2 linked regions of the Nothobranchius furzeri genome follow. The protein of the gene in region 1 binds, or shares a complex with, the protein of each later gene. Links are inferred from orthologs where the notes say so. Each region holds a gene or a part of one and is shown in the gene's direction. Other genes may lie near its edges.

What was found. Proteins that work in one complex are often made in the same cells at the same time.
Region 2: the proteins of plxnc1 (region 1) and sema7a are in contact, whole or in part, in a crystal structure (PDB 3NVQ), measured with the Homo sapiens proteins. The link is inferred for Nothobranchius furzeri from reciprocal best matches to the Homo sapiens genes PLXNC1 and SEMA7A. Residues at the interface, in NP_005752.1 of Homo sapiens: Arg131, Thr151, Glu152, Val153, Asn195, Pro196, Ala197, Ala198, Ser199, Asp200, His201, Thr203, Ala206, Lys208, Arg213, Ser214, Leu215, Ala216, Thr217, Gln218, Glu219, Leu220, Arg222, Lys224, Glu272, Ala350, Ser352, His353; in NP_003603.1 of Homo sapiens: Gln194, Tyr196, Asn197, Gly198, Lys199, Arg202, Arg204, Tyr213, Ser215, Asp216, Thr217, Gln270, Gly271, Gly272, Glu273, Ser274, Ser275, Leu276, Val278, Ser279, Lys280, Pro372, Thr375, Glu376, Phe378, Gln379, Asp382, Arg383.

Annotation. Positions count from the first base shown.
Region 1 is NC_091741.1:61,442,491-61,453,670, reverse strand, and holds part of plxnc1 (plexin-C1), read left to right. Parts: intron 1-1,147; coding exon 1,148-1,285; intron 1,286-2,378; coding exon 2,379-2,513; intron 2,514-2,593; coding exon 2,594-2,694; intron 2,695-2,769; coding exon 2,770-2,875; intron 2,876-2,950; coding exon 2,951-3,110; intron 3,111-3,317; coding exon 3,318-3,420; intron 3,421-3,820; coding exon 3,821-3,896; intron 3,897-3,998; coding exon 3,999-4,040; intron 4,041-4,149; coding exon 4,150-4,283; intron 4,284-5,542; coding exon 5,543-5,722; intron 5,723-6,399; coding exon 6,400-6,508; intron 6,509-7,272; coding exon 7,273-7,440; intron 7,441-7,512; coding exon 7,513-7,680; intron 7,681-8,516; coding exon 8,517-8,613; intron 8,614-8,717; coding exon 8,718-8,819; intron 8,820-11,180.
Region 2 is NC_091744.1:66,533,857-66,543,355, reverse strand, and holds the start of sema7a (semaphorin-7A), read left to right. Parts: upstream 1-2,551; 5' UTR 2,552-2,759; coding exon 2,760-2,880; intron 2,881-2,946; coding exon 2,947-3,086; intron 3,087-3,477; coding exon 3,478-3,519; intron 3,520-3,652; coding exon 3,653-3,748; intron 3,749-3,959; coding exon 3,960-4,062; intron 4,063-4,181; coding exon 4,182-4,292; intron 4,293-4,804; coding exon 4,805-4,947; intron 4,948-8,765; coding exon 8,766-8,944; intron 8,945-9,206; coding exon 9,207-9,315; intron 9,316-9,499. UniProt on the Homo sapiens protein: Plays an important role in integrin-mediated signaling and functions both in regulating cell migration and immune responses.

The DNA of each region.
Region 1 (11,180 bases):
AAGTCCTCCATCAGGCTTGTGCCTCTTCTAGTGTCATTTTAAAGGATTTTATTTATTTATTTAACCGTTACTAGATTACCAGCAACAGAAATGCTAGTAAAAACACACAATTATGTGAAGCTGGAAAAATTAGAATACTGTGCAAAATTACATTTATTTCTGTAATTTAACTAGACTGAGATTTAAAGGCTCGGGAACCTTTACAGGTGTTTCTATTTGCAATTTTAAATTTTAGCTGATTGGTTTTTTGTTAAATATCACACAGTGACCTTTTAATAGTCTAGATTAGTGTAATGTTCCTATTAGTAGTTCCTCCTGTTAAGTGCGTATTTGTTTAAATTATTCAGGTTTATATAAAACATTTGGACATACATTTTATTATGTTCAGTCATTAGTCATTAATATTTTACTATTGTAGTAATTCTTGCATTCTTTAATGAAAAAAGTAACTAAGTAGTTACTTTTGTTGGTAATTAGTTACTTTTATGATCTTGTAACTCAGTTAGTAACTGAGTTACTTTTTTGACAAAGTAATCAGTAACTATAACTAATTACTTTTTTAAAGTAACGTTCCCAACACTGGGAGTAACTGATGCAATAAAATACAATAACTTCATACTTTCTCAAATCCATCTAGAGCTCAAGTCATTTAATTTGATCGTGTTTGCCTTTTAAAATAAAGAATAAATATGTAGGAACATTATCACATTTCAGCCAACTACAATTTGAAGGTCTAGTTAATTTGGTAGCTGCTTTGCAGGAAGAAGGTCTCCAGTTCGAATCCCACCTGCCTTTCTGAAATGTTCCCCCCATGGATGTGATTTTCTCCAGATATCTGGTTTCCTCCTACAGAGTGAGGGTGTGGCTGATGTGTGTCTGTGGCTGGTCCCTTCTGGATGGTTATTGAATTTAAAAAGATACATAAACACTAAAAGCATGCAGTGATTTTTTTAAAAACTGTTAGCTGATCATTCTTCGAATGTCCAGCCACATGACCTGCATTAAAATGGCACACGTTAGCTTTAGCTAAAACACTCCGTTAGTAAACGTTGACCTGTGTGTTGATTAAGACTATTTTAAATAATTAAGGTAGTAATAAATTATTCAGCGACTGTTGTCTGATGCCAGATCTACTCATAATTGTCAGGTTTCTCAGTCAGAACCAAAGATCCTGAAACCAAAGGCTGTGCTTTTCAAGAAGGACTACATGACTTCTGTGTTGGCAGAGAGGAAGATGGGCTGGATGGTTTTCTTCATTGGGACATCAGATGGACAGCTCCTCAGGGTGAGTAGAGACGTTACAAGTGTCACACACCGGGGACCGGAGAGGTGGCTGTGTTCTCTGAGCTTCACAAACATTGTTGTGTCACATCTAGCACATTTCCTGATCACGACTGGCAAAACAGGGGAAGTGACAAAATCCTTTCAAAAACCTTTTGTGGTGTTTTTCATTTGTTTCTGGTGTGTGAGCTCATTATTGTCAGAGGAAAGAAGCAGGGCTCTGCTGAACATCCCATAATGAGTAGTGAGTAAACAGGCTGAGGTGAGTAGATGCCATCAGCACCGATTGTGTTGCTTCTATAAAACCGTCACACCTTTAATAAATACAAATGGACTGATGGATTTAATTGAGGACGTGTAAAAACTGAAGCTTTTGTGACAAGAAACAAATAAAAGACTTTGAAAGCAGTAAAGTCATTTTTCTTTTGTCTAATTAAACATTTAAATGTGCACCAACACTGAGCCTCTAGATCGGGGGTGTCAAAGATGTGGCCCGCGGGCCGGATCCGGCCCGCAAGCGGGTTAAATCCGGCCCGCGAGATGGTTGTGTGAACTTTGTTTTCATACTTTACAATGTAGAGTGAAAATAAACTTATCTTTATGAGCAAGTTTTCTCTGTAATGAGTATAAATAAAACAAAGCTGTGCTCAAGGCTCACACAAGAGCGTGAATCACATCCTGAAGTTGGCCGCCACTCAGGATGTGACTTCTGATATTGATGTGCTGGTGAAAGCTAAAAGATGTAAAGTAAAATGAGTCAAATATATTTTAAGTGCTGCATGAAACTGATCTAGCCATGTAATCTGAAAGCTCTTTGAATCACTAAGGAATGTTTTTTTTATTGATTGATTTTTTTAATTTTTTCAAAATTTCAAGTACACTTCAGGTGTTGTACTTGTACTATTTTGGATACACTGTCCTCAGGCTCCAGCCTTGTTTTATATTGATTGTATTAAAACAAAGAAAACAATCTGAAGCTGTTTTTAATTTACCGGTCCGGCCAACTTGGGACCAGATTTCCCTCAATGTGGCCCCTGAGCTAAAATGAGTTTGACACCCCTGCTCTAGATGTATTCACAATAACAACCTGTTGTCAGCTCTCTGTGGACAGGAACCTCCGCCCCACCTGTCCAAAGGTGCTCTACAGGGCCAGTGGGGACGTAAAGCTGTTACCCCAAATCTACCTGGATCCAGTGGATCACGAACATGTTTATGTTTCTGTTAAAAACCAGGTATTTGGATACTTTGCCCTTATCTTCATGTCACCTGTAACTACAGTGTTTAACTACTAAACCTTTGTGTTTGGTTGCAGGTTAACCGTGTACCAGTGTCAGAGTGCAACACACACACAGATAAGAAGGCATGCTGGTCTGCTCAGGATCCATACTGTGTGTGGTGTGTTGATGAGAAAAGGTCAGGACATCCTCAGCTGTGGTCAACGTCTCCAGGATGTTCTGAACTTGGTAATAATGTTTGACTTTGTTTCAGATGCACTCGTGAAGATGAATGTAAAGGTTCAGACTGGTTGTCCATCCCTGATGAATCCCAGAAGAAGATGATTTCCCACCGAGTTGTGGAGGATCCTAAAGGGCAGGTGAGATTTTAACAGGTTAGTGAATGGATTCATTTAGAACCAGATGATTTCAGCTGATGTTTTTCCTTTCATCAGATCAAAGTGACCATCCAGGCTCACCTGACTGTGAAAGCAGAGATGCGCTCTAACTTTTCCTGTCAGTTCTCCACAACCTCTGGTCAGCTTTGTATGCAGTCTGGCTCTAAACCGCATTACCCACAATGCACCTGCATTCTCTCTACTCATCGTGTGGATGGTTAGTGGGTTCAGTTTGGAGCAGGACAAACATTCATTGTTCACTGATTTGCAGCAACTTTATCTACAATAATACCAGAATTTAAATGATGGAAAAGAATAATGTCTCTTTGTTGCAATGATTTATATAAAGCTGCATGAAAAAAAATCACCAATAAACGAGGAGATTATTTTTACTAAAATAGCCTGGATTATGTTTCATTTGCAGGTGTTGATGTCACTGTAAGGATCAGAGTTGGTGCAGCGCAGCTGACGGAGAAACTACATCTGATCAACTGTTCTAACATCCAGGGAGAACCAAGTGATTTATTGTGAGTTCTGCTGTGTTTTAAAATCATGTAAAAGTGTTCAAATGTACAGAAAAAGAAAAATATCCATATCCAAAAGTCCACTGATTAATAAGCATGTTTGTCAAAACTGCCCAACCTGAAATAAAATAAGATGCTGCAAATAATGTGAGGAGAAATTTTCCTTTTGTGGCAAAAATGATCAGATGAAGAACAAAAATCGTACAGAAGATGTTAAATCTGAAATATTCACAGTCTTTATGACTGGAAATAATTTAATTCTCTTTTGGGCAAAAGTTGAGGATTCATCCTTTAGACCATCTTTCATCCACTGGGTGGTATTTTATGCTGTAGTTTTGTAAATGATGAGTGTGTTTGTGTTTAACTGAGTCTGATGAGCTGCATGGGACCGTTTCCTGTTCAGGTGTCAGCGGTGCATCACAGCTGGGTGTGGATGGAGAGACAACAGCTGTTCCTGGGCCAGTCCACAAGTGCAAAGTGTAAGAGTGATTTTTTTCATGCTTTTATAAATATTCCCATTTGTTATTTTTGTACATTTTAATTCTCAAATATTTAATTACATTTCTACTTTTCTGCTACAGGACAGCATTTGCACCAACATTACGTCTGATGTGAAGTTTTCTGTAAGTCTGAATTTCAGTTCTCTCTCTGATGTTTCCCTTAAACTCGTTCATTCTAACATCATTAGTGACTTTTGTATTAAAGCTGGTTACTTTGTGTGTTTTCTGTCAGAAGCCAGAGATCTCCTCCATCACTCCCAGTAACGTGTCTTTCTACGGCAAAAACCACGCTGTTCTGTCAGGTCGTGACCTCCAGGATGTAATCGGAGTGAAGATCCTGAAGGACTTGAGCTGCAGTCCACAGGAGTGAGGATCTACATGAACTAGCTCTAGACTTTTCAGTAGCTTTTTATGTGAAAGGCTTTCTGGTAACACCATTCTGGGACTTGTAGTTTTAGATGTTTTAGTGTTTTATATCTATAGACCCTTTCCTCCTGACCAACTGCACTTCAAACGTTTCTTCTGTGGAGGACATTTGTCAAATGGAATATCTATTTCTTTCATTTAAATGAAGTAACTCATTTAGAGCTTTAAAGACTTCCTGGAGTGTTTGAACGACACCAAGGGGTTGAGGTTGGGTTTGGGGAATTTCATTTTTCTTTTTTAAAAAAAAGGCATCCATTACTGCAAGAACATTTGATAACTAGAGGAAAATAAAGTCCATTCTAATATTTATTTGACCTGAAATGTTAGTGGTATTAGAAACTCTTAAAGAATACTCAGCCTTGAGTTCGACCTGTCTGGCACAACCTACACCTCTGATATTTAACAAATTGAACACGCCACACTTTCACCAAATAAATCATTCAGATTGTTTTGATTTTTAGGATAAACAATTGTTTTTTTTTTATTTGTACTTTTTCTAATCAGATTGCACAATTTTTTATACCACTCACCCGCTCTCCTCATCCACCAAATAGATTAAATTACAACGTACTTTGACAGAATAAAACTTTATGATATTAGTGTATATGGATGGATGGATGGGTGGGTGGATGGATGGATGGATGGATGGATGGATGGATGGATGGATGGGTGGGTGGGTGGGTGGGTGTGTGGGGATAGATGGATAGGTAGTTAGATAGATAGATAGATAGATAGATAGATAGATATATAGATAGATAGATAGATAGATAGATAGATAGATAGATAGATAGATAGATAGATAGATAGATAGATAGATAGATAGATAGATAGATAGATAGATAGATAGATAGATAGATAGATAGATAGATAGATAGATGGTGGGTGGGAAGATGGGGATAGATGGATAGATAGATAGATAGATAGATAGATAGATAGATAGATAGATAGATAGATAGATAGATGATAGATAGATAGATAGATAGATAGATAGATAGATAGATAGATAGATAGATAGATAGATAGATAGATAGATAGATAGATAGATAGATAGATAGATAGATAGATAGATAGATAGATAGATAGATAGATAGATAGATAGATAGATAGATAGATATTTTTGCAGGATTTATTATACCCGGATATTTATTGTATCCAGTTTAACGGTTTCCTCTCTGTGTTTTCCTGTGCTCTCTGGTCAGATCACCTGTGTGGAACAAAACTGGTGTAAATCTTACGTTCCACATTCCCAGTACAAATGCCAAAGGAGCGGTGAAAGTGTGTGTTCTTCTCCCTGATGGTAGTTGCCATGGTAATGCTGAAATCATCTATCAGTCAGCACCAATCTGCAGTGGTATTGTGCCAAGCAGCTCCTGGATCAGGTGAGTTTTTGTTCTAGTTTTATATGTTTCTATGGAGAACCAGTGAGATATCATTCAATTCAAACAGGTTTTATGGATTTTAAAGGTCATGGTCTAGGTCAACTGTGTAAATGGGCAGGCTCAGGCACCATGCCGGGCCAGAGTCAGACCCACGGCAGGTGTGGAGAAAATGCTGTAAACAAATAATGCTTTCAGAAATATAAATAATGATTACAGCCAAAGTAACAGCCTAATTTCTTCCTGTTAGTACATTGGTTATTACAAAAAATACCCAATTATAAAATATATTAAGAAAGACAAGTTTCAGTATGATCTCGCATCCTGAACACGTATCAGGCAACAACAGAGAAAAATATTTATAAAATAATAAAACCTTTTGAGCCAGAATCAGGACGGCTGGTAATCTGCCTAGACTGGGTGGGACTGGGAGGACAACAAAGACCTGGGGGGGTTGCACAAATAATCGGCTGGAAATTCCTATTTGAGTTTTAAGACTTTAGTTTTCGTTATTTCTTGTTTGAAAAATTGAAATGTGCTTACTTAATTCAGTGTAGTCACTTATAAACACTTGTTCAATGCCTGAGGAGACTATGGTGGCTGTTAGCTGGTGACTTAGAGGGACAACAGTTGGGAATGGGTGTCATGTCCTCTCCTCACACCTGTTCTGTGTTCCACAGCGGCAAAAGGAAGGTCACGCTTCATGGAACCAACCTGCATTTTGTGGACGGTATCACACATGACCACATGCATAATCATGCTATACTTCCCAGGACCAGCAGCTATCAGGTAGATCTGCAGCCAGCAGGTTCATCTGATGGTTAGCATGCTAACAGTTGGACCACATGTTGTTTAATCCTACTCCTTTATTTCACTCAAAGACATCATTGTACTAAAAGGTTTCTTGTAGATGACTTTTTATAGCCACCTGTTTAAATACATGGAGTTTGTGTCCAGCATGATCGATGAGCTAACAGCTAGTACAAGTGCAGCAACAACTATTTGCAAAATGTGTTTGTCCCATCTTAAGAGTTCTTTAAAATTTAACTGAGGTTCCTGTAAAGACTGTTTATATACACTTGATACTGTCATTAGTTTCACATCACGGTATTATACGGCAGAAATATGAAATCCCTGCAGCACTTGACCCCTGGACACTCTGAAATTGTTAAAGTTTGCTGATGGTGGTGATATTTACAGAACACATTAAAAAATGGAATCAAGAAATTTCAGTGGAAATAACACTGTAATGCAAAGCAGACGATGTAACAGTTACAAAAGTAAACCCTTGGGAGATTAAAGCTGTTTTAAAACAGCAGCTTTTCACTTTGGTCTTGACTAAGCTCGAACTAGCCGTTAGCTCCTCAGTCCTGAATGACACACATTCTATTTCACTGAAAAGAGGTTATTAGGAAAGCCATCTGCACTGGATTCTGGTAGTATTCATAAATCTGCATTAAAACACGACAAAAAAGCAGAAAATAACTTTTTTAAGCTGCAGCTGATATAAGCTCAGTTTAAAATTCTGTCTCATAATGAATACCTTTCTGCAGAATCTCACCTATGAAACACCTGCAGCTGAAAAAACTCAGAAGAGCTTCGTGTCTATGAGAGTAGCCAATGAGACCTTGTCCTGCACTCAAATAACCTACTACAAAGACCCGGAGTTCACCAGTTTCAGCGCTGTGAGGGAAGGAAAAGATGTTCGCATAGTGATTCAAGTAAGGCTTAGTTTTTCTTGTCGTCATGGATGAAATCAGCTTATAAAAGATAACTCTTTGTTGTCCTTCCAGAAAAAGGCTGATGAATTGAACATGTCAACGGCAGAGTTGTCAGTTTGGGGAATTCGGGAAGAGGAGATGCATTTCTGCAGCATAGAAGGCAAAGAAAGCAGCAGCGAGATTGACTCAATCAGCTGTGAGATCAAAGGAATTCAGGAGGTTAAATTTAACCAGTTAGAGGTAAAATCTAAAGTCTTAGAGTCATATTATTGAACATTATACATGCATAATGGTGCCTCAAGGAAGGATAAAATAAAGGAACTGAGGAAATTAGAGTTGAACACCATCATTCCTTCGTAAATCTCTAACATGCACACCTAAAACATCTGGAATTTATACTGGTTTATTATTTCAGTTTGTCAGTAAAGCCTGGTTTTCTCTCTCTTGTAGCCAGAAAACTGAATTTAGGATTCAACAAAACCCCGTGTTTTCTATAGTTTTACTCCGTTAACCACACCCAGAACTCTTAGTTCAAAAAGAACAAAACCAGCATAGTCATGCTCGGGCTCACTTCCCCTTGCTAATTTTAAAACTGTTTACTTTTCTCCATCACTTTCAGCACTCCCCCCTCAGTGTTTTCTTCATGGTGGCACTGTTGTACACTGATGTGGCAGTGTGAGCGTCCTGTCACAGTGTCCCTATTGATCATGCGCCCTGGCTACTTAGCCAAGGGGATGTCCCTTTGGTTGACTGGTTAGCGTGCATGACTCTCCCCCGGGAGTCTGGGGATCGAATCCCGCCCGGGCCCTCGCTTCTCCACCATGATACACTACGTACACGGTTAGGGGCATTCAGAATAGACCGATGTACTTGAAAGGTGTGAATATAAATAAAGGAGTTACTTTCCTTTTCATGCAAATAGTAAGATCCAAAAGTGTGCTGTTGTTCAAGGTACCACGGGTCCTTCCAGGTTCTGGTACTGACCGTGTGTGTTCCAGAATCATCAGCTCAGTTCCTTTCAGAGGGAAATTAAACTCCACACAAACCTAAACTGTTTCCATGCTCTTCTGTTTCAGATCAGATATGGAGACAAGTCCATAAAACTCAGTAATTCCTCGTCAAATCTCATTTTCATGTTGTTTGCCCTTCTGCTGATACCCGTTATTGTTGCTGGTGAGTAAAGCTGAGTGACTACAGCTTGTTTTTGGATCTCTACCAGCATCGCACACACAAACTGGAGGGTTGGGTTTGGACCTTTTCTCTTTCTGTCTGTCCAGTGGTGGTGGTAGTCTACCAGAGCAAGCAGAAGAAGCTCACTGCAAAGATGAACAGGTTAATAGAGGACCTGGAGCTAGATATCAGAAAAGACATCAGACAAGGTCAGTCACTTCTCTGACAGTAAAAGAAGAAATCTGAGCACAAAGTCCTGATTTTAGTTTTCTTATAAAAGACTGGATGTTTCGAGGTTTCTCACCGTGTTAAACGGTAGTTTAGACACATCTAACTGCAGAGAAACCATTTAGTTGGTGACACGTGAAACCTTCTTACACTGAAATAAGTGAAACATCTGTGTAATTCAGTTTAATTGAAAATTCACATTGTTTTAATTCAGAAATTGTAATTTCTTGTTTAAACCTGTTTATTTCACTTTCCTAAAATTAAAAGTCACTCACTTTGAAAGAAACCAAGAAAAACAATTTGTCCCGAAGTAAATGTAGACTTCAAATCCATGATGATTGTGTCACATGATCACATGACGTCACTCAAACTGCTCGATCCTGTTGTTTGCGTCTGCCATTACCTCAAGAGGATCTGAAGAACTTCAGTATGTATTTATGACATCATATGTTGTTGGTGGCAGTAAAAAAGAGTGTTTCCTAATAAACTCTGTCTGTGTCATTTAGGACAAAATAGGTCCTGAAAAGCTAAATCTGATCTCCCACAGTGGCTCTTACACCTGCATAGTTCATTAGCAAACTCCACCCCTTTATTCTATAAGTTGCAGTAGCTGCAGGGGGCGAGGTGCATTGTGGGTTGTCATGTTTTTAGTTAGTTTGTTCTATTGTGGGGTGTTTATGCATGTTTATTTTGGGGTGATGTGTTATTTTTAGTTATTACTTTGTTCACTGTTGCAAATGTGATGTTACTTGTTGTGCCGTGCTGGCACCATAAGCGAGGAGGTTGGTGAAACGAATGGCACCGCTGTGCTGATCTCCTCTCATGGCAACAGAGGTGGTGCTGGGTCACACTAAATTTGCAGGATGTCACTGCTTGCATTTCTCTCTGGCGGGATTTTTCAAATTTAGAAGATGTATGAGGGCACTAGTGAGCCATTGTTGAACTTTCTGAAGTGTTGTTACTTTAATTGTGATTTAGTGGAGTTAAAATGTAGGAGTTAAAATATTAAGTAACTAAATATTCTGGTGCACTCTTTCTCACAGCTGCTGTGCTGCTGATTTGGAGACACACTCTCTTATTAGGAGCACTCTGCTAATGCTAGATTAGACACATTTTTATCTTTAGAGTCACTTCAAAGCTTAGTGCGAGAGAGAGAGAGAGAGAGAGAGAGAGAGAGAGAGAGAGAGAGAGAGAGAGAGAGAGAGAGAGAATCTGATGATGATCATTTAACTGAGGTTAATCAGGACCAGTTACCATATTGTGAAAGTGGTGACTGTAAAAGTAAGTCACGTAACACAAAATAAAACCGCCTATAAAGTTTCTATTAGTGAGGTCAGTACCGTGTTATTTTATGTGTTTTACTCCAGATGAATCAGAAATAGGGGAAACAATTTTTTAAAATCTTTATTTTAATTGGAAACATTTCCAATTCTTTTCAGATCTCCTTGTTAGGTCATTCTGTAAACTCTGCACAAACTGGTTTCATTTTCACTTCTTTTATTCATGTTTGAGTCAGAGAGAGCCATCCAGGTTCAGCTTTTGCATCCAGCAGGAGTTAGCTTTATTAGGAGGTTAGCTTAGATCATTGCGACTGCAGAGGCTGAAGGTCTGATCACCTCAATAAATGCAAGAGTCATTTTGCTTATTTTGTGAAATTGTCCAATAGCTCAGTCTAAAAATCTATTTAGATCAATAATTTCAATAATTGCTATAGTAGTTATTTTTACCATGCTGGCAGGATCTACCGGGATTTTACACAACCTGAGTATTATTGCTGACCATGTCCATCCCATTATGAGCACACGAACCCATCTTCTGATAGCTACTTCCAGCAGGATCATGCAGCATATCGCAAAGCTCAGATCATCTCAGACTGGTTTCTAGAACATGCCCATGTGTTCACGAGACTCCAGAGGCATAGACGCAGCAACAGTGCAATGTTGGCCATTTTAATTTCCTCTCTTTTTGTTTGATGGTCTTATTTTCACCAGAATCTTAACCCTCCCACTGTCCAAATGGGTGATCCCACGAGGAAACTTGACCATTGAGCAGGGTTGATGGTTTATCCCTTGAGGTCCACGTGGCTGGGGTGAGGTGGTGCTCAGGGGCGGATTTAGCAATTTGGGGGCCCAAGGCGAACACAGACATGGGGCCCCTTACACTAAATTTTCGACAATCTTACCTTTAACTGGATTTGCGAAACTCTCCCCTCTTCTGACATGAGTTATTTTCCCTTTTTATTAGTCCTCCTCTTTTTTCCTGTACTTCCCTCCCTTTGAGTGCTTTCAATATTTGCTCTGCTTTCTTCTTTCTGTCAGTGCTCCTGTGCTTTAGCCTTAGTT
Region 2 (9,499 bases), on another chromosome or scaffold:
TCACCTAAAGTACTGAGAAGAAATTATTTGAGGTTAAAATTTTCAACCAAGCAAGGAAACAATAAGTCCTGTCGACATTATCTCTTCATATAATGACTATGAGTTTGGGGATAGTATTTCATTGCAAGAGGGTTTTCTTATGTTTACTGTGCTATAGGCTTTCTCCCAAGTTATTTTTCCTTTAATGGTTCATGCATGTGGTGGACTGGCAGTATGAGATGACTCCCTGGCCCTTGCAAAATACAACAATGTAGTCTACCCTTGTTTCAAAATCTGTCCACAAAAGCAGGAAAGTGGCCTGGGGTGCAATGATATATTTAGATGCACAAATTGCTGAATATAGGCTGCAGCAAAATAAACTCCGACGAGGAAGTGATATTCACAATGTAAGCTTTTTCTGTGTTGCAGGCCAAGACGTGTTGACTCTTGGGACATATTCCTGTACATACTTATTCATTTCTGAGACCATCAGAAAAACAGGCATGTACTGCATCTCTCTGCAGCTCTCTGACGTCACTCATCCACATGTCTGACCACATTTAAACTCTCTGCCTTTGCAACTAAACCTAATCAAATCAGAAGGGTTTCTTTGCCATATATGCGAGAAATCACAACATTAGGAATATGCTGCTGTGCCCGTGCGGTAATTGGTGCAAAAAAGAAAGATAAAAAATAAGAGATAAGCAGATAAAGGAAGTAAGAATATAATTATGATTAAATAATTATATGAAGTGGCAATAGTTAAAGAAACGGCTTCAGGTACAAACACATTACATGGTCATGTGACTGAAACAAAGCGACTGGAGTGGGCAGCCCTAGAATTGTCATTCATGAGACCAACTGCGGAGGGGAAGAAACCGCTTTTGTGGCAAGAGGTTCCGGTCCGAATGGATCAGAACCTCTTGCACTATGATGGTTCATCAAACCGACCATAGAAGTAAGTTGTTTAGGCAGATTAGTGGCGGCGGGGCTTTCGGGCTTGTAGTTCATAATGTTGCTGAAACTTTCCACACAGAGGTCAAGTTGTTTTCAGAGATTTGCTGCTGAATGTTGACAAGGTACTGGTGTTTAGCCATGACCACTTCTTTGCTGATCCTGTACTTATGGGAATAACTGACCAAAATGGTGCCGTGGAAGGATGCCCTGGTACTTTGGTGTGCTGGTTTTGTTTTGCTTTTGGGTGTAATCTGGACTCTCTTCTAGGTTATTTTACTCCAGAAAAAACTCACAATCTGACTACTGATTTTGCATGCTTCTCCTACTTTCTCCTTCTGAAACTTGCCAGATGTTTTTAACTTTCTCTCTGCTAATCGGATACCAGCATTCAGCACTCAAACAAAAAAGAATAAGAATAGAGTAAAAATAGAAAATCGACTCTCCACAAAGAAACAGCATAAAGATACAGACATAAAAATATTCATCCAGGTATTTCACAAGTATTAAATATAGCTTTGATGTTAGAATGTGACAGGATAGTGACAGAAGCAGTTAAACCGTGGAGAGGTTCTTTATTATTTTTTTTGTTCTTTTCTTACACAATTTAGTAAAAATTATTTATTTATATTGCACGTGAGGTAAATAAATAATTTTTACTGAACTGTGTAAGAAAATAACAAAAATATGGATTACAGACAAAAACACAGTATGAACAGACAAAAGAGGTTCTTTATTATTCAAAATAATAGTGTGTGTGTGTGTGTGTGCGTGCGCGTACGTGCATGTGTGTGTGTGTGTGCGTGCTCGTACGTGTGTGTGTGTGTGTGTGTGTGTGTGTGTGTGTGTGTGTGTGTGTGTGTGTGTGTGTGTGAGTGTGCTCTGTTTTCTCGATCTCCAGTGAGTCGTGGAGGATGGCTGCTTATACTGAGCCAGGATCCTCTGGAGGTTTCTTCCTGTTAAACGGGAGTTTTTCTCTCCACTGTCGCTATATGCTTGCTTAGTATGAGGATTGCTGTAAAGTCACTGACACTCGTCAGTGGACTTGATGCAATTTGCTGGGTTCCTTATAGGAAACTTTTTTTCTGATTGGCTTAATGAACTGACCTGAATTGGAAAGTTTATTATGTGAAGTGCCTTGAGATTACTCTTGTCGTGATTTGGCGCTATATAAATAAAATAAAATTGAATTGAATTGAAAGGCCAAAGACTCATGATTAAAAATCACTGTATATCTGTCAAAGGTATAAATATCTGGAACCGTTATCCTGAAAATATAAAATTGTGTTCTTACATGTTGAATGAATGAATGATCTATGGTGGCATTCAGTTTTGTATCTTGGGTGTCTCAATCTATAGGTAAGTAAATTTTACCCGGTCAGATCTAAGTGAGAGGGGGGAGCAAGGGAGGTGCTGCGTGGGGGGTTGGTAGTGAGAATAAAGTTTTTTTAATTAGTGACAAATTGTGGCATGTCTCTATTGGGTTTTTAAATGTGTGGAAAAATAATACATGGTTCGTGTTAACGTGAATATGATTTATGGGGCTTCCCTGGGGCTCCAAATGTGACCACAAGGGGCGGCACCGACGAAACAAGTGCGCCTCTCCGTTAGTGTGCACTGATGGTGTACTTGGTCTTGTGCGGCTCTGCAGGCAAATCTGGCCTTTTTCATTTGTTTACGTCCTGCGAACGCAGTGGTGACACCGTGACAGAGATGGAGGAAGAGGAGTGACTGCTCCGGTCTATAATGCAATAATCGCAGACAGGCGATGCCTCAGTTCTCCTAACAGGATAGCGGAACTGTCCGCTCTCTCGCGCGCAATAATTATGAACCGACTCTATTATTTTCCTCTCCTGCTGCTCGGCGAGTTTCATCTTGTTCAGAATAAAGACTTACAGGAAACACCGACTCTCGGCTCGCCTAAAAGCCCTAGACTCCTGATCACAGGTGGGTGAGCTCCTATCATTCTGTTTCGGTGAGACTCAACGCTATATTTACTTGTTTTATTTTTAGGTTTAACCAAAGGTGGACATGTGTATGACGCATATCAGAACCACAGCGTCTTCTCATATCAGGAGGATTCAGACGAACTGTATGTTGGTGGGACTGACTTTGTTTTAAAACTGGATGTGAACGAATTTCACATCTTAGAGGTAAGTCCTGAGCTCCGCTTTGGCACCTGCTGCTGTGTTTGCTTATTCCACGTCTTCTCAGTTTAATTCTTCTCCAGACTGGGTGCATTTTGTGGTAATTAGACAGCAAAGTAACAGATGGCTGGCACAGATCTATTCATGGCAGATTAGTTAAAAAAACAGGAACATTTTAAACAGGTCATCATAATAAATCTGATTACTTTTTCTAACTGTAAAATGCTGAATTCTTAAGATAACCAACTGATTGGAAATCAGATCCAGAAAATCTAAAACTGCTCAAAATCTTCTTATATCTACGATCCATGATGATGATGATTTCATAAATAGGGTCCATTTGGTGCTTTTTATTGTATGATTGGTTAATTAGAGGAACAAATTTGTTCTCTGACAGGAATATCCACTGAAGACCACAGAGCAGCATGAATGTCATGAAGTAAGTAGCAGCAGATTTACAAAATGTGACTTTTTATGTTTATGTTTATGTTTATGTATGTAGCTGACGCTTTTGTCCAAAGCGACTTACAAGTGACTTTTTGCCTTTCTGTAATGACAAATGTCTTTTTTAGGGCTCTTGTACAAATGAAATCACCGTAATCGAGAAGTTTCAGGACAGCGTTTTTGTCTGTGGAACAAATGGACTCAATCCAAAGTGCTGGGAGCTTGTGAGTGATGAATGCATCTTGAATATAAACCCAACTGTGGCAGCAGGGCCAAGCTGATTTAAGGGGTTCTAAGGAAACTTTATTTGAGTTCCCTGCTACATAATTAAGTAGGCTATCTGGTATCTCATCATTTGTTTATGTGTTTTCCACTGCAGCTCTCAGGACATCATATTGGACTGTTGACTGTTTCATTTTCTGTCGTTCTTTATAGTTCCCTTCTGTAAGTAACCAGTCTTATGAAATAGTGGAGAGCTATGAGGGGACCGGCATCTCCCCATTTGTCTACACGCAAAACTCCTTGTCACTCGCAGTTGGTAAATATAGATTTCTACGTGTTTAAAATGTGTTTAAGGCATCAGATATGACTCAGGACTATAATAAAACTGACATAAACTGAAGTAAAGTATTTGAAGTGATCTTTGCTGTTGTGCAGATGGAGACCTGTATGCAGCAGCACCTTTGGATGTTGAGGGAAGCTCACTACAGTTCAGGAGAAAAGCAGGCAGCAGAACAAACGTTTGGATGTATGACAGCTGGGTCTCAGGTGAGAATTACAGCAGGTTGTTTCTAGTGTAGGAGCCCTAACCCGTTATTACATCTGTGATGTGCCTTCAAACCAAATTATTTACATATCTGGCTTAATGATGGCACGTAGCTTTGTTTCTCAGCAACCCAAAGGTAAACAGAAATAATACATTTTCAGGAATTCAAGGAAAACGGCTCAATGAAGGAAATTAGATCCAATTGAACTATTTGCTTGCGTGTCAGTGAAAGTGCAGGCACAACGCTTTTTTTGTCAGCAAACCGTGCGTTTGCACAGACGGGCAATTTTCAGTTTACAGCGGCAACTTTAAAGGGAAGCAGTTTCATTTGGCAGTGTAAAGTATATACAGCAGCACTCAAACGAATTAATTTTAGTAGCACACTCCCATGCTTCTTTTTGTTGTAGAAACAAGCAACTTTAATTTTTTAATTTTAACTGTATTGAATCTGAACATCTCATCACTCAAGCTGCCTTCTGGTGCTGTTGCTAAAACATGACGTCCTTTTTCACAGAGCCCACATTCATCTCTGCATCCTGGGTAAAGCGCGAGGATGACCCTGATAATGAAAAAATCTACATATTTTTTCGTGAGAAGAACTCCGACCACAGCCCAGAAGCTGATCCCTGGATTTCTAGAGTGGCCAGAGTGTGTAAGGTACGGGCTCAACACAGGAGATTCTGAACCTCCATTGTGCAGGCGACTGGACCCACACCCATAAAAACACATTTATTTTTAATTTGCTCATTTTCTGTCAAACAAGGGAAAACCCCAAATATTAAATAAGTGACAAAAATGTACAGCTAGGTTGTAATCACATAGAAAATATTTATGCAAGGTGGTGATGTACTGCCAAAAACCCCTCAGGGTGCCTTTGGGTTGATTTCTCAAGGCTTTGAAACTCTACCAAATTTTTTTTTCCATACAGATGTTCAGTTAGGTTGATCATAGTTCACCTTGAAGACAATAATGACAAATTTGAACTATTTTAAACCATTCAGGACCTCTGGATGGAGTGTCACTATAGAAACCAATAAACTTCTGAAGATAAAGGTATTCCATAAGTTAAATAATCTAAAATAAATTTGCATGAATGTTGGTGCAATAGATATTTTATGAATATCTAATATTTACATGATATATGATGTATGTTTATCAGAAGCTTCCAGCTTCTGCTGAAGATCAGTTTGCATTTCAGTGCAAGAAAATGTGTTTTATAATAAAATTAAAACCATCCATCTTCTGAAGCTGCTTTGTCCACGTAGGGTCGCGGGGGGCTGGTGCCCATCTCCAGCAGTCAACGGGCAATTAGGCGGGGTACACCCTGGACAGAGAGCCAGTCCATCGCAGGGACGCACAGAGACACACAGGACAAACACACACACACACACACACACACACACACACACACCTAAGGACAATTTAGACAGACCAATCAACCTGACAGTCATGTTTTTGGACTGTGGGAGGAAGCCAGAGTACCCAGAGAGAACCCACGCATGCACAGGGAGAACACGCTAACTCCATGCAGAAAGATCACAGGCCGGGAAGCGAACCCAGGACCTTCTCGCTGCAAGGCAACAGCTCTAACCACTGCACCACTGCGCAGCCTAAAATTAAAACATTTAATTGTACTTTTAAAGGAGTGAACCACACACAAAAAGATACATTTTTTAAATTATTATTTCTGATTATAAGTCTCTCTGAGTTTTTCATACAGGCTGAACATGAAAATAGTCTCCTACACCTATCTCCTGCTTTAGCTTCTGATAGAAAATAGATGAAACTCTAGGATTGTCACACCCTGCCAGGAGTCCAGCTCTTTGTTTCCTGTTTTACTTTGACATTTTCCTCTCTCCTCTGTGTCATTTCCTGTCCTTCGTTAACCAGATTAATCCTAGCTGTGTTCACTTGTATTTAATCTCTCTTTGTTCTCCTTTTCAGTTGCCAGTTCGTTGTTGTCTTCTAGCTCTTCGTTCCAGCCGTGATTAGTGTTTGCTCTCAGTATGTTTGACTTGGTTTTGGTGCAACCGTTTCTGCTCTTTTTGCCTGCTAACTTGAATTAGCTTGTTGGAATATTTACCTGCCTTTTTGACCTCTGTCTTAATAAAGGACATTTGCCTTTTACCTCCTCATTCCCCAGCCTTGCTTTTGTGTCCAGTTCCCTATACCTGACAAGGATTTGAAAAGCCTGACAGTGTAACATCGCACTGTCACTTAACATTCATGGACTCACCCATCTTGACTCATGACAGGGAAGGCTGTTGTTGGTTTAGCATCCAGGAAACAGAACATCTCAACTAGTAAAAGCTAACTGTTAGCATTAACAATTCCACCACACAACAGAACACCTCCAGGGTTGAGTTATTTGTGGAGATAAACATCAACGTTGCAGAGAAAACAGAGTTAGTGGCAGAGTCGTTGCTGTTATCCAATCACAGGCGAGATGTCCAAATAGATCCTGCCATGTTGAGCTCTTCTCTGGTGTGGTATTCTGCAAGTTTCTGAAACAAGCGCATCTTAGCTTTTTTCCCCCTGAGTACGAATTGAAAGGCATTCAATCATACTGTATACCACTACAAATAATAAACAAGTGAACCACACCTTTAAAACTGTACAACACACAAGATAATGGGTGTTTCTCAATGTCAAGGCGCCTTGCCTTGCGAGGCAATGTCTTGCAAGGCCAGGTGCCTTGCTTACGAGGACACTGTCCTTCCTTGGTCAAAGAAAACGGTTAAATGGAACAGACTTGCATCACGTGACCGTGGCTTCCACAGCGGTCATGTAACATCACGTGACACGGGAGACAACGTTATATTTTATACGTATTAGTTTCAATATAAATATATAACGAGCCTTTTACTTTTTAAATTGTGTATATGTTTATTAAATTAAAAATATAAGTGAGTTACCCGCTAGCCACCGAAGCTGCAACTAATAAGCATCTAACCAACAATAGATAACTTCTTTGGATCTAAAAAAAAAATAAATAAATCATTTAAAATTAGTTGACTTACTTTTAAACTTGAAAATTGTCCCCAAAGTAAGTCGCTTTGGACAAAAGGGTCTGCTAAATACATAAACATAAACATAAACATAAAGTAGCTGCCGGCTTCTGATCCACCGTCCTTTTGAAAATACCGCGTGTATTCTGGGTAATTTTTGACCAAGGCTAGACAACAAGACACCTCCCGTGTATCCTCGCTCAGCTAGCTAAACGGCTAACAAACAGAGAACACACGCCTCGGTAGAACCTGAACATTGGAACCGACTGGAACACGTCTTGGCGGCTCCTGATGACGTATCTCCTAGCCACCTGAGGCGGGGCCAAGACATCAAGGCAAGGTTCCTTGACATTGAGAAACACCTAATATATATATATATATATATATATATATATATATATATATATATATATATATATATATATATATATATATATGTGTGTGTGTGTGTGTGTGTGTGTGTGTACTCGGGCTGCACAATACATTAAAAAGAACAGAAAAAACATAATGAATGGTCAGCTCAAATGTCTGCATCACACATTGTGTTCCGTTTGAAGCATGACGTTTTTGACTAATCAAATAGAGCCCTTCACCCATTTGGCCAATCGGGTGCGTTCTTATAGGTTAGATGCCCACCCCCTATGCGGACACCACTTAATTTGGATGGCTGGCAAACACCTGAGTTAGCATTGTTCTGCTCTTTCTGCTGATTCTTCTTTTCCCTGGATTCACTGTTTGCCTTTTCTTGTTCATTTTCTTTTTCTCTTTGCTCACATCTTCTGATAACATTTTTTGTTTTTCCCATTTTTATGTTTTTTGTTGTTGTTTTAAAATATTTTTTTTATTTCTTTCTTTGTTTTTTTATTTAGTTTTTTTGTTCTTGAGTTAAGTAGTTGTTTATTTATTGCAAGTCATATTGTCATTGCAATATTAATCACTGTTATCGTGCATCACGTTTTTCTAATATCGTGCAGCCCTGATGTGTACATCTTCATGTAGCTGATGACAGATTGAAAAACATCCTTTTCCATCTGAAATAAGCAGTAGGTTACCTGTCAGGTAACTGACCTTTATCTGTTTCTAACAGGAACAATGTAAAGGGCAAGGACTGTTTCTAGTTTAAGCAGAAGTGCACTTTACATGGATATATTGACACTGTCGTCATGGAGAGTATAATACCCTAACAGGAAGTTATTTTCATGGCAGTTAATTGTACATGCAAAGACGAAATTCAGCTAATACTTTCCGTGCACCATGAGGAACATTTAAAAAACTTATTAAATCATGCTTCTGCAATAAGGCGGTATCCCTCTCATGCCACTGTGGTAGTGTTTACAAAAGCTTCTCGAAAACATGACTAGCCCTAAAAGGGGTTTGGTGTTTAACTTCACTTGGGAAGGTGGCTGCAATGTTAGTGGTATAGAATAACTTAGTCAGTCTGTTCCTTGTCTCTGTGTCATGATGCAGGTGGATGAAGGTGGATCAAAAAGATTCTTCCAGAATACTTGGACCTCTTTCCTCAAGGCTCGGCTTGTCTGTGGATTTCCAGACGAGTCGCTGTACTTTAACCGTCTCCAAGACATCTTTGTGATGCATGCTGAGGATTGGCGTGACACCAAAGTCTACGCGTTGTTTTCAAGCAGCTGGTACAACACTTTTCTGTAACATTTTCTTCTTTGTTTTGTTTTGTTGTCAGAAACTAAGGAACAACAAAGGGAACAAACGGGCATCAAAACGCCAGAGATCGCAGTGTCTTGGGTTTTAGTTATTACACAAGTTTCCAAAACATCATACCACAACACTGAGACGCCCTCACCAGACCAGTTTGGAGCGATGCCAGCTTAAAACAATGCAATCACTATGGTATTCACCATCTGCTGACCTCAGTTGTATTTATTTCTGCTTTAGGAACTCTTCTGCGGTTTGCGTTTACTCAATAGAAACGATCGAGACTGTCTTTGAGAATTCATCTTTCAAGGGCTACAACAAAGAAGTTCCTCATCCAAGACCGGGAACGGTGAGAGTCGGTTTTGTTGCTATGGTACTTTTTAAGAAAACACATCTTCTTTAAAATGGTTTATTTTTGCATGCATACTTTTGCACTCACGGTCACCGGGAGTTTTTGTTTTCACAGATGGCATGTCTGACCAGTTTTAGATTAGAAAACATGTTACATAAACAGGTGGAACTCTGGAACATTT